Regions from separate parts of the Mus musculus genome. Here all the other regions are reported to be linked to region 1. Evidence: microRNA targets listed by miRTarBase, many of them from high-throughput screens and not tested one by one. Region 1 holds a microRNA gene; each other region holds the end of a gene's coding sequence. Distances are from middle to middle.

Region 1 (4,067 bases):
GCATCTTACCTAATTTTTTTGGTACTCTTTAAAGAGATAGCATTTGTTATTCTCATTTTTTAGAAGTAGTCCATGACCTTGGAGAAAGCAGGTAGATTCTTTAATCCAGTACATGGTGAAGTATAGGTTTGAAACAGGGTTTGTAGATACCAAACTCCACAGTTTCTCTGTCTTATCCATGATGCTGGTAAGGTCCCCAGCATCACCCAGCCCCTTTTAGAAATACAAAATCTTGAGCTCACTAATGAGAAACCTCTGTAAGTTATCTTAGTACCAAGTCCTCCAGGTATCTGAAGTAACTTTAACAAGATGCTGATGTGTGTTAAAGGATGCCAATCTCTACTGCCATCTTGTGAGCTTATGGCCTCTTCTCTCTGTCTCTCTGTCTTTTTTTCTTTCAGTATTTTGTATCTCTGGCTTTATATTTTTATAATCTCAGAACAAAATATGAATGTATATATTTAGACAGGTTTCTCTGTCTCTGTCTGTCTGTCTGTCTGTCTGTCTCTCTGTCTCTGTCTCTCTTTGTCTCTGTGTCTGTCTGTCACTCTGTCTCTCTCTCTCTCTCTCTCTCTCTCTCTCTTTCTGTGTATGTGTGTGGAGGGTGCAGAGGTCAACCTGAGGTGCTTCCCCTTTGGGGACATCTACCCTGTTTTTTGAAACAGTCTCTAATAGGGACTTGGCACTCACCAGTTAGGCCAAGGGATCTAGCTTTCTTTGAGTCCTCACGCTTGGCTCTTTTATGTGGAGGCTGGGAGTTGAACTCAGGTGCCTAGACATACTTAATGTGAAGCTCAAGAACATTGTCTTCTTTCTCATCACAGATAAGCACCTTGTGTCAAAGGTGAGCCCATGCGTTCATTTGCTGTGAGCCTTTTGCCCTGCTTCAGTTCTCTGATCCTTGCTACCTGGGTGAGAGTGTTCTTCAGCAAGGATTCTGAGAGCCAGACCTTTGTGTTTGTAAAGGACAGAGCGCATCTCTCGTTCTCTTTTAGTGTGTTGCACACAAGCATATTGACCACACACAGGAAGGGCAGGTTCCTGAGCCTTCTTGCTTGCTCCCCCTCTCGAATCCTTGGAACCTAGGTGTGAATGCTGCTTCAGTGCAACACACCTGTTCAAGGATTCAAAGAGGCTGAGCCTTGTCTGCGTGTAGAATGGCCCATACTTGCACATCTCACCTGCCACCTTCCCTCCTCCTGGCCACCATTTGATTTTGGTTTTAGCTGTCAGACTTGGTTCTACACATTTTCTAACAGCAAAATGGTCTTTATCATGTTTGGTAGACATGCTTCTATTCTCAGCATGAGCTTTCTTGATTCCCAGTTTGCTAAGTGTCAGATCATGTGATGAGGAGCACACATTAGGTGCTGCTACTCAGGCAACCCGTTTGTTACATCCAGTGATAACCCCTGTTCCACAAAGCTTGAATTGTATAAAGGCATTGGAAAGGAATGGAGTATCCTCCTCCACTGTGCCCTCTTTCAGTATGTATATGCATTCTCAGATCCCAGCCTTCTTGCTACCTTCCAAACATAAATCAGGCCCCCACAAATTCTCAAGTATGATCTGGGAGAGATACCATTTTGTATACGTAGAAGTTTTCTCTGAGAGAGGATGCTCATGGTGGGAAGGGGGCAGATACATATATAAATCAGGGATGTCAAGCTTGGGTATAGGTGGTGATGCTTGGCTGAATCAGGACAAGGAAAATTAAATATTATATACAGAACCACACAAACATGGTACAGGTGCCTGGGCCTTCTGCTCTGCTCATCCTCTCTAATCCTTTGTCCCTGGGTGAAAATGCTATTTGTATGCAATGCACCCGGGCAAGGATTTGGGGAAGGTGAGCCTGATCTGCATGGAGAAGGACAGGAGGTCTGTGCATCATATCTCATCTGTTTGCTGCTTGCATACTTCTTTTATGCCTCCCCCCACCTTCTTTCCTTCTACAAATACAACGGGCATGGTGCATGGGAGAGTAAATGTGACAAATTTGGCCTCTTCCCACCTAGATTTTATAGGTAGAACTTTATTTCCACTTATGACCCTAACAGGTATCAAGAACAAGTGGGGCACATAGTAAACTGTGTATTGACATAAGTGCGCAGCTTTTCATTCTAGTTCTCATACCGACACCTGGAAGAGAAATTCTTCTTTAGTTCAACTCTTGGAGGAATGCACAGGGCAAGAACAGTAAGCCTTCTTGTTGAACCCACATGCCAAGGGCATAGGTGCAGGCTGTGCCTTTCTAGTACTTGCTACTTGGATGAGTGTGCTTTGCGAATGCAATATACCTGGGCAAGGGTTCAGACATTGAGTTATCTTCATGTAGGACCTTTACGCCTCCTTCCACTGTTTCCTGTCTATTTATTCAGTATGGCAGGTACTCAACTAGGGATTTGGTCCACAGGAGTATGAACCACATGTGGTTCAGGGAGCAAATGGTCCAGGGAGAGTGAGCTGTGTCACATCCATTATGCCTGCATGAGTGGACTGTAGACTGGGACTTCATGTACACTGTCCACTTGGATTCTTCCATATTTTAACACAGTCCCATATAAATGCAGTGTATACAGAGGAGAGGATTCACAGACTTGTGCCCACAGAGAGGATTATCTGACCTGATTCATCAGGAACATTAATCCTCAGCACAAGTGCTGTTTTCAATAGTAAGTCCTGTCCAAGGAATCCAAAGGGTGGCACTTCGCCTGCACTTTAAAGGACAGAGCCCCTATATGTCCACACCCCTGTTCCTTTTCCTTCCTTTCACAAATATTCAGGTATGCACTATTTGATACAGCTCTGTTAGTCATAGAGGATGTAGCAGGAAACAAAATGAACAGAGGTGCTACTCTCTTAGGAGACTAATAAACACACTAAGATCCTTGACTATTATAGACTCACCAACTGCTGTTCAAAAGAATGACCTAGGTCTATTGTTCCTTGTTTTCTATTCTGTATGAATGACTCAGTGCAGGGTCTGATAGATGAGATTTCTCAAACTATTCCCCCTCCCATGGCCCTAGATATGCCTAAACACATGGGCCTACGTGGAGAGGAGTCACTCGCTCACAGGAAGAGTGGATATGGAGCCTATTGTGTTGTTCCCTCTCCTCATCCCTTCAGCCCGAAGACCAGTAGACTAAGTGACTTCTTGTCAACTACCATCACTACTCCCATTTGAAGACAGGAGCTTACTGTCTTACTGTGTAGCTCTGTCCCTCAAGCTGATTCTCCTATACCCACCTCCATAGGTCATACTTTTCTACACACATTTGCAAGCTGGCCTGGGCAACATGTGATCCCAAAAGAAAAGTGAATCTCTTTCATGTTAAAAATAGTAGTCTTTATATCATGTATATTTTTTATTCAGATGAGGGAGGTCTAACTAAGTAGCTTAGTCCAGCCTGGAACTTGCTGTCTATTCCAGAGTAGCCCAGATCTCTTGGTTCACCTGCCTCAGGCTCTGGGTGCTGGGATTATAGGTCTGATGTGCCACCGTGTCCAGATGCTTCATGTTCTGAATGGCCATTTACAGTGGTGATTCTCAAGGCAGGATCCCTGAATCAGCAGCATCACCGTCACATGGGAATGCATTCAAAGTGCGGAGTTCCACCCCTGACCTATCAGGTCATAACACAGAGCAGTTTATATTCTCTTTAAGCCTTCCAGTTGATTCTGATGATCACTCAAATCTTATAATCACAGAATCCAGCCAGGTGAGGGGCTAGAGAGGAAAGAGTTCCCTTCTTTCTTATGTATGTTCATGCAGGCTGTCTGGGAGAAGCTCAGCTGGTCTCTCCTGCCTTCTCATTCCCACACTTGATGATGGCATGTGGGCAAATGAATATGCAACAAAGAGAGAGAAACCGTAGCATGATTTCTGTAGGCATGTACCTAATATTATAGACAGACACATAATTGGTGTACAAAACCAAAACCAACTCAAACACTTCCTTGTGTGCATGGATTACACATGAGAGTGGGCCTTGTCATCATGAATCTTCTGCCAGGTGATTTAATTAGCACATGTTGACTGTTCACTATGCTGTGCTATGTGT
Region 2 (4,067 bases), not on the chromosome of region 1:
CACACACACACACACACACACACACACACACACACACACACACACACACACGGTGGGGTGCAGAGAGGCACTGAAATGTAGCATACAAAAAGAGGCCATGTGACTATGAATCTAGAGTACTTGCAACTAGAGTGGTTAGAGCCATACCAAGCCGCAAGAGGCAGGAATAGGCTTCCTACCAAAGTCTTAAGGAGAGCACAAAACAGTCTATATCTTTGTTGTTGAGACAGGGTCTCACAATGTAGCCTAGGCTGTCCTCAAGCTCCCTATGTAGACTAAACTGGCCTCAAACCTGCGACACTCCTGCTGGCATTACAGACAAGCACCATGCCTGGCTGCTTTGCTTTTTGAGACAAGGCCCAGGCAGGCCTTAAACTTTTGATCCTTCTGCCTCAGCCTGTGCTGGAATTAGAGGCACGCACCACCATACCTAGCAAATTTCTTTTGCTTTAAGCTCTCAAGTTTGTGGTAATGTTTTGGCAGCCATAGAAAACTAAGAGAAACTGGTAAAATGCATCTCCCTCACATGGTGTGTGAATTATAACCACAGGTAGATAATGAATTCCACACTTAAACAGAAAGCCAATTAAAATGTTCTGTGGGCAACAACTAACTACAGAGATTTACAAGCACACTGTACATGTTATTTACACTTACAGTTAATGGGCTCTACTGCCTTCCTATACATTATAGAACACCTTTACATGCATGTAAGCATGTCATATACAGGTCTGTTTCCCATCCTGAGCCTGGCCTACAGAACACTCTTCACACAACAAGGTTAAAGGAATGGAATGAGATCTTAGGTGGGTAGGGCTGGTACATCCAGTTGCTGTTAGAAAACTACTTTATAAACATGAAGACTGAGTCAGGGGCCAAACAAAGCTCTAGGCCCAGTGCCATGGCTAGAACAAGAAAGATTCAGAGTCAGGTGTGGGACTCTGAGAGACTTGCTTAAGGCTATTACTTCATAAGGACTGGGGGCACTATCCCAGGACAGACTGAAGCCTAGATCACTGGTATCAAAATCTCTTCCATCCCTTGTCCCTAGGAAGAGCCACCCAAGCATGGATTGGGATCTGCCCTTCTGCAACATCACAGCTGGGATGACATTTGGTGCTTCCTCTCAGTTCTAGTGTCATCCCAGTCCACTGCACAGTTCATACAGAGGCCCTGACCCTTCTAGACCTACCACTGCTTTTCAAACTGTTGGCCAGTCATTCTATGGGCAATGAAATGGCTTGACCAAGATTCACAGTGGCAATTTGAGCAAATTGGCTCAGATCACTGGAGCAGAGCTGGAGAGCTGCTGACAGTTGGCAATACCCTGGGATCCACATTAGGGACCCCAGTGGACTGGAGGAGCCCACTGAGTCCCAATCTCATCCTATCCTACCTGCTTTATCTACCAATGTTCTACACCCAGGGAGGCCAAGAGCCTAGCTGCTGAGTACAAGAATGGCCACGTCCTCTACCTGAGCTCCTCTGTCCCTGCTCCAGCTCCACCTGTGTTTGTACTGGCCTGCAGCTTCTCTACCAAGCCAGGGAGAGACTGTATCTTCTAGAATTCCATGAGGTGTATCCCTGGCCACCCTCCTTGAAGGGGAGAGGGCAGTGGGCAAACACAAGTCCACCTTTAGCCATCAATCAAGGGGTGTCAGTGACCAATCTTCAGAGGACTGGTGGGCAATAAATTAGCTTTCTCCAAATCCAGTTGGAAGGTCAAGAAAATAAATTAAGGGAAAAACCAAAGTCAGGCTTTCTCTCACCACAGCATCAGACAACTGTTTCAAAATATATTAGATTTGGTTTTTATTGTAGAGCACACACATATTAGGGCAAAGTGCTGCACACACAACTACAAATCATTTTTTGGAAAAGAGCAGTAAAAAACAAGAAAACAAAACAAAACAAAAACCCCAAACCACAGAAGATCTGTGACTGCTTTAGTTATGCAGTCTCAACTTGAGGGCTCCACACTGGCAAAGGATCTGACCCCAAAGAGACTTCCTGATGACTGGGTGCTCCCACACCTCTGCAGCCACTGAGGCCCGAGAGCCAGACCTTTGTGTACTTAGAGTGGTGGTGGCATGGCTGCTTAGAAGGCCTCTGTTTTCAGCAGGCTCAGTCCTGGCCTGGCTGCCAAAGTCAATCCTAATGAACCCCACCTTCCAGGATCTAAATAGGCAGAAACTCTCAAAGACTTTACCTTTGTATTTTTTTTTCTATTATTTTTAGAAGTTCCTTTCCCAGCCCCCAGGCCCGGCCCCAAGACTGAGAAAGTATTAATCCAATATGCAGGTCTGACTTCTGGCCTTGGATATATGCTATATGTGGACAGAGCAGGCACATCTTCTTAGGGAGATGATATGGGAAAAGAGGCCCAAGATGGTCAAATGAGGAGAAAGAGACTAAAGGGAGGAGAAACACCTCAGAACAAAAGAAATGAAGCCCTACCACACACCCCAAGTTCCCATAACCCAAATGCTAGATTGGAAGCCAATCAGTTCCTCTAGCTAGAAACAATTCCTACAAATGACCCACTGCAGCAAGTCTAACAGTTCCATACAATCACACACATATGCCTAACAGGAGCAACCCAGCAAACAGGCATGCTCTTAGCAAAAGAGGTCAGAACCATTGTGCTAGTTCCTTGACCATCCAGGATTGGTGGGCAGAGCAAGCCAGAGGGCATGCAGAAAACCTGGGGACTCAGAAATGGGATGGCGGGGGGATGGCACTGTTTAAGCCCCATACGCAGCAAACTTGAACAGTGGGGAACAGGGTATTTGCATGAGATTCCAGAGCCTGGACAGCAGGTGAGATGTATGGGCACAGCAGACCCAATGCAGGACCTGTATGGCTCCAAGAGACCTCATCCAAGCATGAGCATCAGTGGAAGAAAAGGCTGGCAAAAGAATAGTTTTTGTTTAAAACACTACAAAGATTTACATTTTAAAGCCCAAACTAGAATTTCATAACCAAAACATTTTGTGTGTTTCAATAAACTTCCACTTGAAGACAGCTGTCCCCATTGTCTCTACTGGCTACTCTGGTGTGAACAATTCTCTACAGAAGCCAACAGCTTTTTCCATCAAGGAGGAAAGCCAAGAACAAAAGAACCCAGGTCTTTTACCAATTCGCTCTTTAGCCTTAATGGTCAACAAAGCAAGGAAAACGTATATAGGACCAAAATAACAAAGAAAAAAAACACTCAAACGGAACAGAAGATGGGGTAGCTACATCAGGATTAGCCAGAGTCCCAAGAGGGCACAGAGCCTCAGTGTCTCCTCATCTTCACCTTGCGGGTGGGGCTGCTGGCTGCCTCTGGGCAATCTTCCGAGGACTCATAGGATTTGCGCCAATAGTTCTCAGAGCTAAAACTCCCCCTCCGCCGGTGTGTGGGCAGGAGCACAGACCGCCGGTTTTCTTCTTTGTCCATTTCCAGGATCCGGGGCCTGCAAACAAGAGGGACAAGCTGTTACTTGAGAAGCCAGAAGGAGGGTTCTAGTCTTACAGTCACTAAAGGGGACTTCAGAAGCCCCATCCTTGAATTGGGCTGCTTGACTCAGTAGATCTCAATCAAGATGCACTGATAACAGTGGGGCCTGCCCACTAAGTGACAGGGGCCAGTCCCTGTCTTGGGCTGTCTCTTAAAGACACCTTATGGAGTCTGCTTAATTCTGAGTTTGGTGCCCAGGCCTGTGTCAGGTGTGCTGGGCTTCCCTTACCTCAGATTCAAAGTCTTGCAGGCTTTTGCCATACACCCCTACTTCCCCACTCTCCTACTCAGCTGCACTGCTGGCTTCTGTGTGGGTTTAAGTACCTGTGGGCAGCATCAGGGTCTGCCTTGCGGTGGGACCTTTTGGGTTTCAGCGCAGGGTCTCTGGTGTTTCCTGACAGGCGATCTGAAGCATAGCTGGGTGGCAATGTGGAGCTGCTCAGGGATTTTGTTTCCAATCGCGGTGCATCTAATCTTGTCCTGCAAAGGAAACACACATGGAGTCTCAAAAGGGCATCTTGTAAAGGCATAAACCCTATCAGGACAGATCTGTCTCCAGTGAAGA
Region 3 (4,067 bases), not on the chromosome of region 1:
CTTCAATCTGACAGGAGACAATTGGCCACATACCCTGGGAGGGTGGTGGGTCAGGAATTTCTCCACAGGATTGTCTAGGTCCCTCAACATTTTGTCACTGAGGGGAGACAGTTCAGTAGCACAGTAATTGAGGAAACTGTCTTTCCTCTTTCCCCTCAGCCCCCTCTCTCCTGTCTCTCATGTGTGCATGTGTGTGCTCTTGCAGGCACATTTATACACACACACACACACACACACACACGCATACACAAACAGGAATGAGAGCAGGAAGATGGGCATCTTCTTTTGGCTGCAACTCCTCCAGCACATCTGGTTTTATGGTTCCCAGTGACCTGAGACTGGGGCAGGAAACAGGGAGAAACAAGCCCGGCCGCCCCTCCCGTCTTCCATGGCCAGGGCTTTCTCTCCAAGAGGAAAACAGGTGCTTCCAAGGAGCTCAAACCGCCCCAGCCTTCTGCACACCCACTGTGATGCCAAAGGACAAGCTCAGCCCAAAGACTCTCCTGAAGGCTTCTCCTTGGCTTTGCTTGTCCCACTGCTGCTAGGTCCAAGGGTCTCAGCAGGTGAGGCACATGGGAAGCAAGACAAAACAGCTTGGCTCTCAGAGTCTGAGCTTTTCAGCCAGTGATCTCTCTATGACCTCTCAAACTATGTGGCTTTGCATAAGAACTAGCAAATGGATTGCGACTGGGCCTACCAAAATGCCTCACACCACAGGCCAATCATTAGGCAAGCAGCTAAGGGCATGTTCTGTATCAGTGTAATGGGGAAACCTTACAAGGTCTATTAATGAAATCCTATCCCAACAGCACCCCACGTGGAAATTCTTAGCTCAGAAGACACATGTCATAGCCTTTGGTCATTTGAACCCAGCATGGTGTATGTGTGAAGGTGTAGACACAAAACTGTTTCAGACCAAGTCTAATGGTCCTGTCCCCAGCTGTCATGGGTACCTGGTAAATGCTGGCACACCCAGAAGGCTCTTCCACCAAGCCACACCTCTTTTCCAGTGGCTTCCTTACCAACTGCCTTCACTTGCTGAATACAGAGGGAACCACTCAACCTCCAACCAATCTACACCTTGACTGTTATATCAGACGACAAACCAAGATCCCAACGGCAGGCCAAAGGTGAACACGACCAGACCAGTCTGGATTTCTCTCAAAGTGAGTTCTAGCAAGTTCTTTCCCAACTTACCAGTCTATAAGTGGTTTTTACAGAGAGATAAAAGCCAATTTTGTTTGAAACCTTAATCTTCTCTTTCCCCCAGTGCTAAACATAGAGTCCCGGACACTGTGCATGTTAGGCAAGGCAGTACCCAGCAGGTTACATCCTAGCATGGCCTTCTTTCTTAAGGGAAAGGTAAGAAATCAGTTTTTGGGAAGGCTAGGGAGAGGAAGGTTTAGTACAAGCAGCACAGGGGCAGACTCTATACATTATTTATAAACACACACACACTCCATGTACAGCCAGGGTGAGAACCACCTCCAAACGTATTGAAAGCAGACATGGGGAATGGATCTTCAGGTAGGACAGAGAGCCTTCTAAAGCAGACAGACACAACTCCTTAACAAGCCTACTTGTGTGTTCCCAGCTACCAAAGAGCTCTCAGGGAAGGGTCAGGACTGCTGGCTGCAAACTGACGAGCACTGTCTGCACCGCTCTAGGGAAGGTCAGAGGCTACCTGAGCACCCAAAAGTCAACCCAACCCTAGTGTAAATCTGCAGTCGGTCACCCTCTCTGCTACATAAAAGTGCCAAAGCTTAAAGAAAAAATTAAGGATCCAAGAAGACAAAAATTAAATATGGCCAATAAGGAAAAGAGGACTACAGAATAGTTCCAAAATGACCCAGAAGCCTCTTGGAGCTGGTGCCTTCACTTAGCACTTGTCCAGTGTCCCCAAGAAATGATGAAGCCTTCTACTGCACCCAGAACCCTTGACTCTTCAGATTACTTCATCACCAGCTTCCCTTTGACCCAACCCATCTACAGAGGGAGCAAACCAAGCATAGACTTGGGGCGTCTCTCCTTGGACATCTTAAGCCATGTTAAGGCACTTCCATTTACATCTGTTCAATATTCTACAATGTTGTAGACCCTCCGAAACGGACTGCAAGCGGTTCCCACCTTCCGACATCTGAAATGGAAGAACAGTGGACTTAGCTTCCCCTTTATTTTCATGTGCAGCCTGGAAAGGTGTCAAAGACAAGCTCAGTGCTTCCTCCTCCAAGTAAAACACAGGAGCGACCACGCCCTCCCAGTTGAACAGCATTATAAACCACGCCCCTCCCAGTTGAACAGCATTATAAACCCCAACCCAAACGGCACACACAGAGCAGCGTGGGACTCCACTGCCCCCACACCACACTACAAGAGATTTTCCTTTTTATTATTGTTGCTTTACAATAAAAACAAATTGCTACGCTCTCAGCAAAACAAAGTAAAACAAAACAAAAACCCACAGGAATTTAACTAACAGCAGTTCAAGGTAAGGCTTTTGAAAGATTTATTGAAATAAATTATCTTCACCTAGGCGCCTGTTATCCTTTCTCAGTTACTTATCAACAGTCTAAAAACTTCCAGGTATGTAAAATACATTTAACTTTGCCAATAATTTTAGATAATACTGGATTTTTCCCAAAAGGACTACCATAAAACTATGTTTTGAAACATTAAAAAAAAAAAACCTTAATCCAATGGGACATAAAACTATGTATCCTATGATTGCATGTTTCAAATCCTTAAATACGTGGAGAATTTGAGCCGATCTGGGACCGAGTCTGCTTGAGGCATGTGGATTATTCAACATCCTCTGTTTCCGTTTAATGAGACCCACAGGAACAAAAGCAGGGAACTCAAGGGCTCCAGGGACAAAGATACGAAAGGTGTTTCTTCAGCAGTGTCCTCCAAACACCCCTGCCCTTGCTGGGCAGGCCCCATGCCTTTTTCCAAGGATCAAACCCATATGTTTAGCATAGCCTAATTGGGTTGACCAAGGAATTAAAGTCATAACCAAAGGAAAGGAAGAGGCGGCAGCCATGGGGGCAAGCTTCTGTGATGCGAGAGCACCAGAGTGACGGAAGTGAAGCCAGCTGGGGACTGGGCTCAGATTGGTCCTGAATGTTAAGGGCAGAAAAGGGCCTCCTCATTCTGCAGCCCTGAGCTTCCTCTTTCTACTCCAGGTACCAAACCAGTTCTTTCTACACCATGTCCTGCTGGTCTAGAGGTCCAGGCGCCTGTGGGACTGGCCTCCTCCCTAAGCACAGCATTTAATCGTAGGCTACTTTGCCATAGTGGTGGTCAGGCTCCTGCTGCGCACCTTCTGACTGCTGTTATGCACCCTCCCCAAGATCCGTGCTTCCTTCCAGCTGTGGTGCTAAAATACTCAACATCTGCTGTGGTTTATATCAAAACAGAAATTCAAACTAGCTGCTGCAGGCAGGCGAGCGCCCCAGTGCCCACTTCTTTTTGCTCGTCCCCTACTCCCAACAAGTCCAGTCAACACCAGAAGAGGCCATGCCTAGAGTTAAAATGTGCAATGTTTCTAAGGGGAAGAGAAATGTCACAAAGAAAGTATTACAAAGGATTAAATTTGTCAGCTGTCCACACACTAAAGACCACATGCTTTATGCAGCAGCAATGCAGTCGCAGGTCTCCACACAGCAGGCAGAACTGGGACAGGCCTCTTCCGGTAGGTAGAGCTGGGCAGGAGGCTGAGGAAGGTGAGGAAGCACTAGGTTGTCCGTTGCCTCTGAAGTCTCCGCTCAGCAGCGGCTGCCAGCATCCTTCGGCGCAGGGTCACGGGGTCAGAGGATGTGCCTTCAGAAGGGAGGAGTCTCTCTGAGGCCCCATCATCTTCAGAACTTTTGTTTAAGAACCGCCTATAAGAAATAAAGCCACAAGAGAGAGAAAGATGGGAAACGGGAAGACAGTTTCCCCTTCTCCACAGGCATCTTCACAAAGCTGTCACTCAAGCCCATCCTGTGATGAGAAGAGCCTTGCCCATGGCTCGGGTACAGTGCAGCTCAGCAGCAGGGCGCTTGCTCAGTGTGTGTAAAACCCTGTAC
Region 4 (4,067 bases), not on the chromosome of region 1:
AGTAGCTCTCTGGGAATCAGAAAAAGGTGTTTCCTAATTATCTTAAGGCTGGAAAAAGGGACTGTCCTCTACAGTACTGCTCGGGAATCGACCAGAGCCACTGTGAGGGCTCTGTCTGTGCCTGCAGCCTGGGAGCTGATCCCTAAGGGTGTTTGTGCAGGAAGATGGCCCCATCGTGTTTGCTTGAGACATTTCCATCTGTGGTAAAAGAGATCTCCAGACACCTTTACCAGAACCAAGTCCAAGAATGCAGGAGTGTTCTCTAACCACTGCTCCACCCGACAGAGGCCGGGGTGTCTTACAAGTTGATGTGCAATCTTTGCTTTGTGTCACCCTCAGGGGAAGTTCCTGGCTCCAAAGGATTCACTGAGCCAGGGCCAGCTGGAAGGCAGGCCATGGGATAAGAGGTGTGAATGAAGGTTCCCAGTTGCTACAGATAACAGACAAGCAGGGACATGTTCCCCAGGCAGACAGGGGCTCTTCTCCATCAGTGTTGACTGCTTCAGGCAGGCTCTCAAAGCAGCCAAGAGAAATGGCACACATGGGTTCCTTGATTATGTCGGGGCCCAGTGGGAGCCACGTCTGAAGCAGAGAGGCCTGAGAACAGGGTCTCGTGGTTATGTTGGCAGAACCTCAGAAGTGTCAGATTGGTTGGGGAGAGTGAGGAGAGAACCAGTAAGAACTTGCCTTCTCCAGTGTGGGTGAATTTCTACTGGCACACGGAGCAAGGGATTTTTTCCAGAGAGGAAGGACATGGCAGTCAAGGCAGGAAGTCAGCAGGAACAGAGATCTCTGGGAATTATTGTTGGCCTCTTCTCTAGCCCTGCCTCAGTTCTTTGTGACCATGAGGGATGGAATGAGCTCTGAGTCATACAGTAAAGTCCATGACTAACATGGCTCATATGTAGGAGCAGTGATCCATTGAGATATGGGCCAGCATCAGACTTATAAACCTATATTTTAAATTTATTGGTCAAGAACTTTCAGAAAATTATTTGAAGAGTTTTTAAAACTTTAGTGACATCAACTGTTCATTGATATGGAGATGTCCTTGGGATGGGAAGGGCAGTCCCCTCACACTTAGGTCACCACGATAGAAACCTGATTGGGTCTGTTATCTTACTAACTCCAGTACATATCAGCGTTGGCATTCGGGTATCTTCAGGAGTGCATCCACTTCTTTGATAGCCTCCACAGCTTCTCATTGACACACCAGTGGCCCTGACTCACACAGACCACTGTTCTCTCTTGGCCAAGTGGGGGATGTTTCAGAAATACAAATAAGGCAATTGTGAAACAGGAGCCAGACCACTGTCCGGCCATAAGAGCATCATTCCCTGCTATTTCTTATCTTTACCAACTTGACTCACTGAGGGTCTTAACCTGTAGGCACTAGCTAGTTCTGATCAAGACAGGCCTACCAAGGAGTAGAACTGATCCTGCCTGCCTAAGCCTGGGGTCTAGAAAGCCAGGCTGAGTGTCTGTCTCTTGTGACAATGACTGCATCTCCTGTTACCCTAGACCTCTAGTCTCATCAGCAGACTCCATCCTTAGACTCCTGCAGCTTACCTATTGGGTGTTGTGGACCCGCTCGGTGATTTTCTTTCCTGAGTAGGGATGGCTGCTCATTTTCCATTCTCCACTAGACCTGTTTCACCACATAGAAGATGTATAACCCCCTACCTCATCACTGTGGACTCCCTTTCCCATCACACACAAAGACATACACACCACAGCATACACATGCTACATCATACATGCCACACGCATGTACACAAACACCATATTCATCATATAACACACACACACACACTTAAGTATACACACCATCTCCACCCAATCCCACACCTACTTACCAACCCTCACACCATATATACACACACGAACATACATATACACACCACCCCGTACATCCACACATATACCACACTCACAGACATGCACAACACACACACACACACACACACACACACACACACCTCTGCCTAGACCAGTCTTAACCTGTAGGTCTGTGGGTTGAGACCGTTTTGGGAGTTGGATAACCCTTTCACAGGGATTGCATATCAGATATCCTTCAAATTTGGATATCTACATTACAATTCATAACAGTAGAAAAATTAAAACTATGAAGTAGCAACAAAAATAATGCTATGATTATTATAATGTTGTGAGGTCATCACAACACGAGGAACTGGATTAAAGGGTCACAGCATTAGGAAGGTTGAGACCCACTGGCCTAGACTCGTGCAGATGCCAAGTGCAGGGATCCACAGTGTAACAATCCATCACAGACCCCATCTCCTTACGAGCTCAGGGACCCGGGCACCCAGTCTGAGGGGCACAAGGCCTGAGGTTGGGAAGCCATTCTCTAGGCTGCCTTAGCTTCTTGCCTCCCTATAGATGCCAGAGAAAGTTCTCCAGGGCCTGGCAAGAAGGTGCTTCTATTTTCAAAGGCTGGTTGAGAGCCATAAACACTGGGGTAGAGGTGTCAGGAAACATGTAAGCCAATTCCCAAGACCAGGACAGCTTATTGTTTTCAACCTAATGCTTCACTGACCTGACCCTCAGACCTAGACTGGAAGAGAAAAATCTGTGAGGCTGTGGACCCCAAAGCTCTTCTCCACTCTTTGATTCTTCTCCCCCTAGTCACCCACGAACTCTCATCCTGTCCTCAGGGCCCGCCCTCTAGGTCCCACCACCATGTTGGAGCTGTTCCACAGAAGGGAGGCCCAGAGGCATCTCAGTAGCAGCCTAAGGCTGCTCAGCTTGAAGATGCCTTTATGGGCACTTGTCACTTGTGTTTCATAGCCTACTTTTCTCCAAGGAGCCCCCGTGCAACAACTGCGGCAGATGTTTTCTTGGTTGTTATTTGTCTCTTGCTTTTTTGAGAGCGGTCTGTGTAGACTGGCCTGGCTTCAGATTCGAAATTCTGCCTCAGCCTGCCAAACGCTAGGATTACAGGCTCCAGATCATCTTATTTTAAAATTATCCTTGTGTCTCTCTCCTGTCTGCCATCCCTGTGTTAGTACCAAAGGGCTCATCTGGCTCTTTGAAATTCATATGTTCCCCAGGACCACTCCACAGGTTCTTTGAAGTTCTTGGGCCAAATAGTCTTACAAAAGGTACAACTGCTGGGGGGCTCTCCTTTGAAGCACAGAGCACAGTATGACTAAGGGTGTCAGGCAGTAGTGAGAACGACATGGTGTATGCTCCTAGGTACTTGGTGTCCTAAGGCCACTCTAATGAAATCAATTACCCTGTAAGCCATAGTGTTAGTGTCTACTCGACACAGATGAGGAAAACACACGCTAAGTAGTATCAGAGGTGAACAAGTGGCCTTGCTAAGAAGCTATTAATTAGTGGGTTTTGGCCTCAGACTAAAAGGCATTGCCCCTGGAAGGCCTCTGTGAACGCCTCCCCAGCTGGAGGCCTGAGTATCCATGGATAAAATTACCTCCCTTGATCCGAAGGTCTCAGGTGTTGTGCTGAGGAGACCAGGAATTGGGGAGGAAAGTGAACAGGCTCCAGTAATCAGACAGAGGATAGATGGCACCCTAGAACTCTCATTGGGAGCCCCACTCTGGAGGCAACTAATGCTCTCACAGAGGCCTAGAAAGCACTTGTCAGGAGGCCTAGGCAAGGCTACTTTCTCTGAGGCCCCAAGGAGGAGATGTGAGGCCTTGACACACTATTCCTCTCTGTAGAGCTTCCATACTCCTGGGGCCCCACAAAGCTTGCTCAACTAATTGGCCTCTCTGGCCTCCCAGGCTCCTCGGTGTCTGGCAAGAAGAGGCTCTGGGTAGCACACAGACTTCACATTGAGCCCCTGGTGGCCTGGGACACACTCAGTCCATTGGGCTCACCCTCTTCATCCTTCTCGGCCTCAGCTTCGTTCCCAGCCTCAGCACAGCCCCCAAGCAAGGGAGGACTGGGAAGGTACTGGAGGAGCCGACCGCTCCGCTTCATCTCCGCCAGCTCCTTGGCACAGCAACTGGGTGTGTTGGTCTCATAGGTGTCATGGAAAGTGTTGTAGTCCACCTCATAGAAGCCCTTTTCCAAGGTGAGAA
Region 5 (4,067 bases), not on the chromosome of region 1:
GTAGCCAACAACAGCCACCAGCCTCCACCCCGGATCCAGACCTCTTCAAGCCCTTGGCTTCCCCAGCAGTCCCACTTCACAGCTCTGGCCACCCTTCCCAGTATGCAGCAGAACCCACCCCTGCCAGCACAGAGATCTTCTGCAGAGACCAGCGAGCTGAGGGAGGCGCTGCTAAAGATCTTCCCTGACTCTGAGCAAAAGCTGAAGATCGACCAGATCCTGGCAGCTCATCCGTACATGAAAGACCTGAATGCCCTGTCGGCCCTGGTGTTGGACTGACGGCTGGGCTGGAGCCCACTGATGCTGGGGAACTGCCAACCGTGGGATGGACCATAACGTGAAGAAGCCTTCCCGGAAAGCATTGCTGTGTTGTATAGAAAAAGGAGGGAAATGTTTTATGTATACAAAAGTCTGGGGTTTCAAAGCCAGCTTTTTTCTATATATAAATTATGCTGCTATTACAGACTTAACGTTTTCTGTAAAAGGAAAGTACTCTTTCTGCCTGTTCAGAACTGTTTAATAGCAGTTACTCTTGAGTGTATTTACAGTTTTATGTTTTTTAAACTATTTTCCTTAAAGCTGAAGAAAAAATGACAAATAAATATGGTTAGCCTTTCTAAATAAAATTTTAAAAAAAAATTAAGAAAAAAAAAGGAGTTGCTTCCTTAAGGAAAGCAAGACTTCTTAAAGTCTATTTTCTTGAGGTAATTTGTCCTGTTCACTAAACATGGCGTGTGCTCCCCTGCCTTCATCCCTAGAGTGGGCCTGCTCTGCTCTTGTGGGGCCTTCTCAGCGAGCCATTATGAGAGTGAAGAAGTGGAGCCACTAGATGGCATCTGACACCCGGGCTGTCACCAGTGGCCAGACAAAGTCAGACTGAGGAGCAGGTGGGAAGTCTTAGAGGACGTACAGCCCCAGCATGCTCCCTGACTGGCGTAGCTCCGTAGTGCACTCACCAGCCATGGCCGCCATGCTCCCACCCTGGCTCCACAGCTACCTTAGCCTCAGAAGACAAGGTAGGCACTGAAGCCTCTGGTGAGGAGACCCCCCCCCCCCCATGTGGCGTTTGTACAGCTTTGCCAAAAAGTTTTCTATTCTCAAGGATGACCCAAGCCAATAAATAGCATTAGTCCTTTCAGAAGGGCCTCAAAGCCCCTGCATTTCCCTTCTTTTGTCTACTTAGAGGTTTCTTAGCAGCAATTCCTGAGTCTTTCAGAACCAGTTATCTCAGTATTGTCTCTTCTCGGTGTAGCTTGAAGTCTGTGTCTGTGAACCCCCTCCTGGTCATTCTTAGTGTCTTGGCTCTCACCTGGACCTTCAAAGGGCTTTGTGTTCTCCATCCATGCAGTCTCCAGGCCCTTGTGGTTAAATTCACTGCCCTGTGGATTGTTGTTCTCCCGGTCCCGCAGGTAACCGTGGACTTGGTGCTGGTTTGTTATCCGTAGTGCAGGGACTGTGTAGATCACAGAATGCTGCCACCATGCCGTGTCTTGGTTCATTTGGTCCCTGCACCCATCAGGAGATGAACAGAGCCTTCTAGGTGGCCATACTTACGTGATCTCTCCTGAATTTGTTGATGATCCAGCCTGCTGGGAAGCTGTTTGTCATCTGTCCCTAGGGGGTTTCAGACCTGCAGGCTGTGTGAGTACAGAACAGAGACTTCTGGCCAGCCCCAGGAGTTGACCCACCACAGTCCCCCACCCAGTGCCTCAGCTTGGGAGCACAGCAAAGGTGCCAAGGTGGAGCTGTCTCCAGGGCTTCCTGGTGTGGTCAATCCCAGCCCAGCACTGCTGGGAACCAGGAGAGCCGGGAGTACTCCATAGCTGCCTCAGCCTGATGCTGGCCTGAGGAGCACAGGCTCTCAAAGGCCCTTCGGCTAGCCTGATCTTTGAGTTGTGTGCCTCTGTGTTCTTAGTATTGTTTCTGAGAGATACCTGCCCATTTCCCCTTGCCCCATATAGGAGGGAGGAAAAAGCTGGAGGAAACCAAAAGGCATTAATTACTTTGTAGATTATAATGTGAAATATAATTCTAGATTCTTTGTGAAATCTGTCACATTTAGGTATAACATTTACAGCCCAGTTATCCAGCCACTGAAGAAAGCTCACAACTTGCTTCTTTGCCTCATCCAAAGCTCTGTTGCTGCTAGGTGCTTGTAGATGCTTGACCTCCATCCCTCCAGTGCCTCCTCAGTGAACTTGGGAGCGTCTTGGAATTCCTCCCTGTGTGGAGTGCCTCTGCCTCCTGTGTATCCTGGCATTTGGTTGAGGCGGCCAGTGCAGCTAAGGCTGATACCTTTGGTCATTGGACAAGGTGTCGTGTGTGTGTGTGTGTGTGTGTGTGTGTGTGTGTGTGTGTGTGTGTGTGTCCTGGTCCAGTGTGGTTGACAGGCTCAGCTGTATTTCTAGGACATGTTAGGCATGAAAGAGAGCTCCACCTCTCCTTGCCAGTCCCAAGTACCTAGCCCTCCCCCTGGGAGGGGCATCTACTGCAGGCCCTCTGCACCAGGCTCACCCAGGCCCTTGCCTGCTCCCCATACCTCTCCAGGGCTGTCCCTCCTCAGCATTCTGAGCCACCTCAGCTGGGTCCATCAGTTGCACTGTTCGCCCGAATCGTTACTTGGTTCCTCTGATCCCTTTAGTTAAAACACCCTTCGTTCTGTTGCTAATGCTTCTCTCTGGCTTCCCACTTTCCCCTCCCAGATTTGGAAACTTGGCTTCTGCCCACCACATGGGAGTAGCCTGGGAAATCACTGGTTGCCATTTCATCATTAATGGAGTAGCTACAGACAGCAAAGCCATTGGCCTCCCTTTCTCTGTTTTCCTTCTTGAAGCGCTCCATTCCTTTCTTCTTGAAGGCCTAGCCTTAATTCAGTTTCTCAGCAGGTGGCTCTCAAGGTGAACCACCCCTTGGGCTTACAGAGAAAAGGGCAACCCTTGCTACCCTTGCTAAAAGGCAGGCTGTCAATCTGTCACCGCCCTGAGGGATGGACTCAGTGCTTTAGAGGAAAGCTGGTGGCTTGTCACTGCCACACGCCTTGAGTGCAGGGCCCTGGTAGGTGGTCTGGAACTGGACTTCCTTAGGAGTCGCCACTCTCCTGACTACCCTCCACTCTGTGACACCAGTCCTCTCACTAACCCTGTGGGATCTTGGCTCCCAGAACCTCAGCCTGCATCCTGCCATCTCTCACCTAACTCTGAGGTCCCTTAAATCCTTCTTGGCCCTTGGCTTGCTACTGCCTACCACCTGTTCCCACAATCCTCCGTGACACCGTTCCCTCCCTCATTGGCTACCTTACAGCTCTTCCCTCTCCCTAATTCCAGGGGACTCCAAGTTCATCTAGAGGGCCATTTTGCATCATCCTCTTCCTCTGTGATCTTCGACCAGAGCATCACGTTCCTACCCTCTGAGCCATGTGTCCGCGGCTGCTGCCCCATGGCCGCACTTGACTGTCTGCTTTCTCTTGCCATGATCCTTACTCCAGCCACCCAGATCTAGGTTCCCCATAGGCCCTGTTCATGTTTCTTCCTCTCATAGACATGCCCTTCTTCCCTACAGCCTGCCTCCTCAAAGGCCCAGCCCTGAGTTCTCTTTGTGTTCAGAGCAGAAGCAGCTCTATGCTATTCTGTGGCCCCATGGCAATTTGGTGTCTTGCTTCTGGCTCTTACCACTCTGGCCGGTGTAGCTGCAGCCAACTGTGTACTGTGTTGCCTCCCTCTAGACTGTGAGCTCCTCGTGGGCAGGGACCATATGGTCACTCTGTATCTCTTGTGGCACCTAAAAGTGCCTTGCACTTGGTAGGTGCTCAATAAATGTCTGTTCAAGTGAGAGCTGGAGGGTGGTGCTTTCTTGACTGCGGCTTTGGCAAGAGGTCCCTGGAGGATCTATGGTGATCGTGTTCAGAGACGGGACCCACCTTTGTTCAATTTGGGGGTGGGTCCAATTGCCTGGCTCGATCTGTCCCCCTTTGGAGGTGGGGGTGGGAGGAATTCAGCACATACCATCCTGGACAGAGTTGCCTAGCCCTGGAATCCTGACCAGATGGAACCATCCCGAGCAGTCAGTTG
Region 6 (4,067 bases), not on the chromosome of region 1:
GGTCCTAGCACTGAGAAGGAAGTGGACACGGGCTCCCACTCCTAAGCAAGAAGCTATCTGCAGTTGATATCCTCTGGCTAAAAGAAAAGTCAGTTTTTCCCAATGAAGTGTCAACGTGTGTATTAACCACACTCCAGGGCAGGCCCATGCCCAAGAATAGAACCAACTCATAACAACACAATGGTACTTCTTTGTAGACTTTCTGTTTCATCTTGCTTTGCTTGGGCTTTTTTTTTTTTTTTTTTTTTTTGTCTTATGGGTCTTTCACTTGTTTATTTTGATTTCCATTTTGTGTGGGAGAGGTATTGCTTGCTTGCTTGCTTGCTTTTTTTGGTCTGACTTTTTTTTAAAATTGGATATTTTCTTTAGTTACATTTCAAATGTTTTCCCTTTTCCAGGTCTCCCCTTCGGAAACCCCCTATCCCATCCCCCCCTCTCCTGCCTCTATGAGGGTGCTCCCCCACCCACCCACCCGCTCCTGTCTTCCTGCCCTGGCATTCCCCTACACTGGGGCATTGAACACCCTCAGGTCCAAGGGCCTCTCCTCCCACTGATGTCCAACAAGGCCATCCTCTGCCACATATGCGGCCAACACCATGGGTCCCTCCCTGTGTACTCTTTGATTGGTGGTCCAGTCCCCAGGAGCTCTGGGGGAGGGGGGTCTGGCCTGTTGCCACTGTTGCTCCCTCTGTAGGGCTGCAAAACCCCTCAGCTCCTTCAGTCCCTTCTCCAACTCCTCTATCTGGGACCCCATGCTCAGTCCAATAGGTATTTCTTTCTTTCTTGTTTGTTTTATAAAGAGAGATTCTTAAATATATATATATTTAATTGACTAGGTAGGGAGGATCTGGGAGAAACTCATGGAGGGAAAAATATGATCAGAGTATATAAATTTTTTTCAATAAAAGTTTTTAAGATACAGTGTGAAACATATGTAGCAGATGTGCAGCTCAGTCTCCATGTGGGTCCCCCAACAACTGGAATGGAGGCTCTCTCTAAAGCTGTAGTCTTCACTGTGGTATCCATTCCCCAACAGGGCTGCCCTGTCTGGCCTCAATGAGAGAGGATGTGCTAACCTGACAGACACTTGATAGGACATGGTGAGGGAGGGACTCTGTGAGGGAAGGACGGAGAGGTGGAGCAGCATTTGGGATGTAAATAAATAAATAAATTTTAATGATGATGATGCAGTGTGAAGACATTTATGGAAATTTTAGGCAAAACTGGAAGAGCGGCTTAGGTTCATGGACCTGTTTGTTGACTGACCCTAAAAAGTTGTGCTTCCCCTTCAGCCCAAAAGTAATACCCATCGGCCCTTCCTGGGATTTCTCTGCAGTTCCAAGCTTTGCCCCTCAGAAAGATACTAGAGCTCAAAACGTAAGAGCTATTGCACACCTCCTGCATTATCTCCCCCCAACCCCCCAAGTGTGTGAGTGACAGGTAGCACCCAGGCTAAGCCTGGCCCGGCAGAAAGCATGTGAGAGAAGGAGGAGCCATAGACAGACACAGTTACAGCAGCTCAGCTTACTGCCTCTGGACCCAAGCCCCGGCTGTCAGCTGTCCACCGTCCGCCACGAGACCTGAGGTCACGTGCCGCGGTCACGTTCGAGTCTGAGGCAGGTGAATGTGTGCAGGTTGAGCCACCTCCTGCTCCAAACCAGCTTGCTTGGTTGTTGCTAGGCAAAACAGGAGAACTTCAGTTGCTCTATTTCTGATCTAACCAGTTATGGTTTGGGGGGAAAGAAAACATTCTCGGGTCTTTTACCAAGCACATTTATTCTAAAAGTGAGAGGCTCATAGGGACAATGTAGGTATTTACAGCAGAGAACTTATGGATGCTAGCCAAACCTCAAATACCATCACAGGGGAGGTATCCCAATAGTGTTTTTCCAGCATGGCAGATCACATACATTACAATCCACTGCACTTTCCCAACTCACCTCAAAGTACATGCACACCGGACAATCAACCCAGGACACCTGTCCTCAAGATCCCACAAAGTGGATTTATGCGCACGCAAAAACAGTTCACATTCAAAATAATTCATATCTACACTTTTTAAAAGCATTTTGACTAGAAATTAAAACAGCAAGACAAAATTAGGCACGAGATAGACCGATACTTTCATGTGCAAGGTCCTGGATTCTTGCATTGAGACTCTGGTGTCAGTCCCCACTTCAAATGTCACATTGAAAAAGTGTGGCAGAAAGATGAGTCACCTTCAATATGAAGGACGTGAGTTGTGTACACTGATGGCCCTCCTGATGATTTCAGAAGGACACCAGTGAATAGACCTTCAAATAAGGTCCTAAACATTCATGAGTTATTAGATGAGCATTCAGGTAACTGGTTTAAACAGCTACAGTGTTGTGGTTTAATGGAGGCACTGAAAGAGCTCTCTTTGACACGATGTGGAGTCCCTACATGCTGCTAGTCACTGGTGACAACATGCCTGATGTCAGGCAGCATTCTGTAGCAAGAACCCAAGAGTGATGCCTTCATCACAAAGCCGCTTATCCAATTAAGAATGCAAAGCCAGATGTGCTTCAACACTCTCTAAAACATGGTTCCTGGTAGACCATGTTTAAACTGAAAGGATTCACTTGAGATCTTTTGATATCATCATTTCCTTGAGACAGGGACTTGACTAGCCCAAGCTAGCCTCCAACTTTCTGTGTGCCAAGGATGACCTTGGATTTCTAATCCTCCTGCCTCTGCCTTCCCTATAACATACTGGGATTAGAGGCATGTGCTGCCACCCCCAGCTGTATGATGCTAGACCTGGAACCCAGGTCTTCATGCATGCGAGGCAAGCACACTACCAACTGAGCTACATCTCTAGCCCTCAAGATCTTGATTCTTCAGTTCATCTTCTCCCCCAGTACCATCCAACATCCTTTTATTTTCCTATACAAGGATGCATAGAATGGATTTCTTTCCCATCTTTGAGCTATTTCCTCAGGAGAAGCCTGCAGAACCCATTCTGAAACACAAGATAACTTTATGTGTTCCCACCAATGGCTTAATATCCACTTAACCATGGCTCCTCCGCTGACTCGAGCCCTCGGCATATACATTTCACATTCCTCACACCCTTACCACAGCGTTCCATCACCATCAACAGTCCTCAAACCTTTCCTTGGTCAAAGTGAAAGCTGGTGAACTGAGAGGGAAATGATGCACCTCCCAAAAAAAGGTGTCGCTTGTATAAAACTAGTTCCCAGGCTGTCCTTGATCCTTCAGAACAAAGCTGGTGGCATCACCCTCAAAAACCCCCAACAATGAATTCTCAAGTAGCTATAGCTTCTATAGCCAGGCCCCAACAGCTCATACCTAAATCTACTGATAGAAAGTAACTACGACTTCCTAATATTGAGCAATACAGATCTAGAATTGCATGAGGATTATGATCAGACAAGGGCAGTGTGTAGATTGCCTAACTCATCGATAGGAGGTCAAGTTCTCCACTCTCCCCCAGCTCTGCCACTCTGGGAAGAGGCCGCTAGCAAGCCTTGGACTGCCAAAGACTGTGGGCTCTATCTCAGTCTTAGGGGGCCCCTGTTGGAATGCACAGTCTTTGGGTGCCACCTGAGTCTGCACTCCGTCAGGTTTCCATTGCACATGGACAATTCTGTAATTCTGACCCTCATTGTTGTCCCAGAAGATCCTCCCATTAGCGTGATAAGAAATGCAGAACTCAATTTTCTCCTCAGTTGGAATGACACGGGGCAAGTCGATGGCAAAGGAGAAGGTGTCGCTGTCTGAGCTGCTGTAAACATTCTTCATGTAGACACAGTCCACATCTGTGTAGGTTTTCCAGGTGTCAAAGGTGATCCGGACCTGAACCTTCTTCTCAAAGCTCACATTCTTCACTTTCACTGTCCCGGTCACCGTCCGATCTTGCAAAGAGCAGTTCTCGAGGCAGACAAAGTTCTTCTGAAAGCGGTCCCGGAAACTTAAGTAGTCGGTTGAGGGCTGGGGAAAATCAAAAACCAAATTTTTCTCCTCGTGAAGTTTTAAGCTGGAGGAGATATCGTTAAGGTCCAAGAGATCAAACTGCAGGTCCC
Region 7 (4,067 bases), 160 Mb from region 1:
CTCCGTGTCTGCCAGCTCTGCCAGCAGAAGAGTATTAATAGCGAATAACCCTCGCCCTTCTCCAGCTGATCCGTCTAATGTGACTAGCAGCTCGCTTTGCCTTCTCACATGCTCACTAGCCATCATGCTCACCCTTCTTTTCCAGATCCACTTCCTCATGATACTGTCTTCTAACTGGGCTTACTTAAAGGATGCAAGCAAAATGCAGGCTTACCAGGATATCAAAGCAAAGGAAGAGCAGGAACTGCAAGATATCCAGTCTCGCTCAAAAGAACAACTCAATTCTTACACTTAAAAGTGTTTGCCAGAGCGTGTCAGCCAATGAATTCACAGCTCTGACACATCATCAGACAGCTGCTCTGCAGTACAGATGTGTATCCCACCAAACTAATGTAGACGTACCAACATTTCACTGTCTGTCTCAAACTGCTGGGGTGGATCTCTAGGAAAACCTTCCAGTGGGTAAATCAGTTTCTTTAGAACAAATATTGGAGGTTTCACTTTAGCCATTTTAAAAGGCAACACTTTTGACAGAATGACCGTTCATCCTTTGCAAAGTCGTGGCATGTCCAGTTAACTGCTAGAGCAGTTTTAACACGGGATAGAATCACATCACGTTCCTTACTGGGGACCTATGGCATGCCAGAATCAAAGGATATGACCCTAGATTTACATATGCCACCTGTCTTCAAGTGTTATCAAAATAGAATCAGTGTCAAGTTCATTTTTGATAACTGACCTTTATTAACCTTTGGCTCATCAAAGATAATGTGATTCTTCCAAACTTAAAACTCAGCACCCTCACGGTCTCACACATTCGAATGTTTCCCAAGCCACTGAGAAACCTATCTTCTAGTAATAGGAAAATGAGCTGCAAGTGTGCTAAATGTATCAGTGCAGAAGCTGGATTCTGACCCGAGCTCTGCAAAATGAGCTTCCCAGTTGATCACATCGGAACAAAATGGGACTGAGGATTTGGTGATCACTATTGTTTGGAAATAAATGTCAGCTCTGCCTTAATATTTGCTTTCAATTTCTAATCATTTATATTGTAACCAGAAACCCAAAATTCCTACATAGATTATTTTGTTCCATGAATATCTTTCTTAAGAAGTGTTACCTTGTTAAAGTGACTACCATTCTAAACCATTTTTAAGTGGTCTGGACAGTGAGTTTACAGTTTCATATCAACTATCTAAAACCTAACTGCAAATTGACCACAGACCTCTGACCTTCTACTTTTATAGACTTTAATACATAAGTAATTTAAATTAGGGTTGGTATTTATTTCACTGTTTTCCTATCTAAATCTTAATTTCCTGGAATAATAATGTTTGATATTCAGCAAGAAAACTGCTTGAGTTTAAGCCATTTTCAAAAGAAACTTGCCTTCTAACTCATTGTGTTCCAGAACATTAAGTGACTAATAGGTACTGGGTATTAGTGATGGTAAGTTTTGTGTTCTTCTTTCTGGAATGATCCATATAACTGTGGGGTGCATCAGTGCTTTTCAAAGGGGCTGCATACTATAGGGTTAACTATGTATATTCATGTTAAGAGTTAACTTGTGGTTTGGCTGTTTCCTGGATTTTAAAACATATACATGTGCAGAGATGTATTCAAATGAAAGGAAGCATATCTTTATCAAGATGCTAGTAAAACTGAACATCAACTATAATATTTCATTTGGATTTTTTTTCTTTTGGATAATGCCGAGAAACGCCTAATTGGATTCCTTTTAATTGGGAGACGCTCTCTTCTGTGTAGAACAGTTGTTCCAAGATAGCTTAGTGTTTTGTTTTCCTGTTGCATGACAGAATTATTGTTTCCAGCAGTGGAGGTGCTGTTAAGAGTCCAGTGTTCTAGAAGAGGCGGTGTCTAAAGCCTAATTTTACTTTTCTAATTCTGGTAGCTATTGCCAGGAACTTTTGAAAGTTTTGTTGAAGTAGTCTAATATTTTTTATGTAAAGAGCATTAAATTTTGCTATGTATAAATTTTTGTAACCTAACAGTGAATCAATATTTTCTATCAGTGCCAAGGGCTTCCTGTAGTTCTATTCAAGTGTTACAATAAATATTTGTAGATAATAGTCAATACTTGTGTATGCTTATTTTAAAGATCTATTTAGGTGGAAATAGTTGTGGATGTACTAAAGAATAATGAAATAAAATTATAGCTTCATTCGCTTGCCTTTTTACCATACATAAATCCTATCTTTCTCTGTTCGCGGTATGGTGTCATTTTTTTTAAATAATATACATCATCAAGATTTTACATAGGTAGAGACATATAGTCCATGGAAGACTGCTACTGGTTTCATTTTGCACGTGCACACAAACACAAGCAAAATGTTTTTAGCAAGAGCAAATTGAGAAAATACTGTAGCCCACTGAGCTGTACTTTGTATAAAATGCTACTAGCACTTGAGTGTGAAACGCACAGAATTTTCCCAACTAGTTTCTCCAATAAAAAGCCATCTACCTACAGGATTGACACATACATAGTTTAATCTTGGGCAAAGGAAAAAATGGGGAACTTGAATAAGGGTCTATAAACTGTTGACTTATAAGCCAAAGTCTAGGGGGAAAGGTATATTTGGGGATATAATGAAAGCTAAGTCTAAGTTGATTCTTTAAGCAGCAGCACTAAATTTGTGTGGGGATTTCCTTGTCTAACTTGAAAGAACCCTGTCAGGGTGCCTATGCATTTGCTCTCCATGTGAGGCCGTGCCTTTAGCATTCTGGGCACAGCACCTCTAAATGAGGACTTGCCTCTGGATCATTCCCCTTCACTCACGCACTGCAGGGAAATGAGCAGGAGCTCCAATGTAATGAAGCTTGTCTCACTTAACACCGTCTGCTCAGGCTGCACTGTGTCACTGGATAAGCCTCCTGAATAAATACTAGAGTGCTTTAACACAACCACAAGTAACCTTGACAGTAATTCTACCATCAAACATAGGAACCTCTGGGGGACACAGGTTTTTCCAATTACCTCTGGTTTAAACACACACACACACACACACACACACACACACTTTAAAGGATGAAATGAGCCAGGTGGTGGCACACACCTTTAGTCCCACCACTTGAGCAGCAGAGACAGGCAGATCTCTATAAGTTTGAAGCCAATCTGACCTACAAAGTGAGTTTCAGGACAGCCATGACTGCTAGACCAAGAAACCCTGTCTTGGAGGGTTAAAAAAAAAAAAGAAGTCAGAGTTATAAGTTACCTTTTTATTATATTTTAAAATATTTAAAATATTTAGTAACCTAAATATTTAAAAATCAACAAGTTCACCCATTATCCATTATAAATAAGATTAAAGGATTCTACAGTAAAGATGCTGGCTTACTCCTGCTACAAAAATAATCTTAGACAAGGTAGGGAGTAAAGAATAGAACTTTGGAGTTTTTGTTTCATTTTTACAGTTCTGGAGACTGAGAATCTCAGTAACAAAGTGCTGGCAAGTTCAGTGCCTGGTAAGGGTCAGGCCTTGGTTTGTACAGTGTCAAGTTCTTGGTACTTCTGAAAGGGATGACTGCGCTCTCATTCATTCTATGTAGGAGGGTCTGCTTTCATGGCATCACGCCCCAGAGGCCCACCAGCTAATACCATCACACTAGGGTTCAAACATATGAATACTGGAGAACCTACAAGTTTAACCACACCAGATGCAAAATATTATTTATAGACATTACAATGAAAAGATTTGTGTTCATGTCCAGGGACAAAACTGTGCTGGGAGGATGGCTTCCTGTTTTACACATTATAGCCCAAGTGTGGAGCAGGAGGCACACAGCTTAAACTTAGCAAATGCAAGCCTGGAAGGTGACAAGATAAGTTTTCAAATAGATGTAACTTAAGACAAAGCCAGAGAGAGGAATGTCATTTTAAAACAATGAATACATGCCATGGCTAGAGGACTACATGGGCCAAGTGTGGTGGTGCATGCCTTCAAAGGGAGGCAGAGGCAGGCGAATCTGTGACTTCAAGGCCAGCCAGGGCTTCACAGAGATCTTGTCTCCAAAAATAAAAGGGGAGGGGGGAAGGGTTCAGCTGACTC

Evidence for each region. The annotated mature microRNA mmu-miR-362-5p reads AAUCCUUGGAACCUAGGUGUGAAU and lies in region 1 at 1,071-1,094, shown strand. An mRNA with a match to its seed (bases 2 to 7 or 8) in the 3' UTR can be bound and repressed. Matches are read on the target gene's strand: a 7mer-m8 pairs with bases 2 to 8, a 7mer-A1 pairs with bases 2 to 7 and ends in A, and an 8mer does both.
Region 2: miRTarBase lists Alkbh5 as a target of mmu-miR-362-5p. The part of its 3' UTR that is shown has no 7-base or 8-base seed match.
Region 3: miRTarBase lists Amfr as a target of mmu-miR-362-5p. Seed matches in the 3' UTR shown: 7mer-A1 at 2,542-2,548.
Region 4: miRTarBase lists Kcnj5 as a target of mmu-miR-362-5p. Seed matches in the 3' UTR shown: 8mer at 2,987-2,994 and 7mer-A1 at 2,069-2,075.
Region 5: miRTarBase lists N4bp1 as a target of mmu-miR-362-5p. Seed matches in the 3' UTR shown: 7mer-m8 at 1,099-1,105.
Region 6: the mRNA of Ppp1r3c is a reported target of mmu-miR-362-5p. The part of its 3' UTR that is shown has no 7-base or 8-base seed match.
Region 7: miRTarBase lists Gpm6b as a target of mmu-miR-362-5p. Seed matches in the 3' UTR shown: 7mer-A1 at 652-658.

Annotation. Positions count from the first base shown.
Region 1 is chrX:7,239,046-7,243,112 of GRCm38, reverse strand. Mir362 (microRNA 362) reads left to right here and starts at 1,067; the gene lies at 1,067-1,131. All of the region lies in intron 2 of Clcn5 (chloride channel, voltage-sensitive 5), which reads left to right. Mir501 (microRNA 501) reads left to right here and starts at 1,762; the gene lies at 1,762-1,870.
Region 2 is chr11:60,553,629-60,557,695 of GRCm38, reverse strand. Alkbh5 (alkB homolog 5, RNA demethylase) reads right to left here. Exons shown (of 4, transcript NM_172943.4): 3 at 3,827-3,982; 4 at 1-3,458. The coding sequence ends at 3,281. Among named protein-coding and RNA genes, the nearest start is that of Alkbh5, 18 kb to the right of the region's middle.
Region 3 is chr8:93,969,434-93,973,500 of GRCm38, forward strand. It overlaps Amfr (autocrine motility factor receptor), which reads right to left. Exons shown (of 14, transcript NM_011787.2): 14 at 2,155-3,881. The coding sequence ends at 3,734. Among named protein-coding and RNA genes, the nearest start is that of Amfr, 41 kb to the right of the region's middle.
Region 4 is chr9:32,313,767-32,317,833 of GRCm38, forward strand. It overlaps Kcnj5 (potassium inwardly-rectifying channel, subfamily J, member 5), which reads right to left. Exons shown (of 4, transcript NM_010605.5): 4 at 941-4,067. The coding sequence ends at 3,814. Among named protein-coding and RNA genes, the nearest start is that of Kcnj5, 29 kb to the right of the region's middle.
Region 5 is chr8:86,840,899-86,844,965 of GRCm38, reverse strand. N4bp1 (NEDD4 binding protein 1) reads left to right here. Exons shown (of 7, transcript NM_030563.2): 7 at 1-3,827. The coding sequence ends at 279. Among named protein-coding and RNA genes, the nearest start is that of Gm33877, 8.7 kb to the left of the region's middle.
Region 6 is chr19:36,729,974-36,734,040 of GRCm38, forward strand. Ppp1r3c (protein phosphatase 1, regulatory subunit 3C) reads right to left here. Exons shown (of 2, transcript NM_016854.2): 2 at 1,758-4,067. The coding sequence ends at 3,442. Among named protein-coding and RNA genes, the nearest start is that of Ppp1r3c, 4.6 kb to the right of the region's middle.
Region 7 is chrX:166,386,807-166,390,873 of GRCm38, forward strand. Gpm6b (glycoprotein m6b) reads left to right here. Exons shown (of 8, transcript NM_001177955.1): 8 at 146-2,227. The coding sequence ends at 295. It overlaps Ofd1 (OFD1, centriole and centriolar satellite protein), which reads right to left. Exons shown (of 23, transcript NM_177429.3): 23 at 3,227-4,067. Among named protein-coding and RNA genes, the nearest start is that of Gpm6b, 44 kb to the left of the region's middle.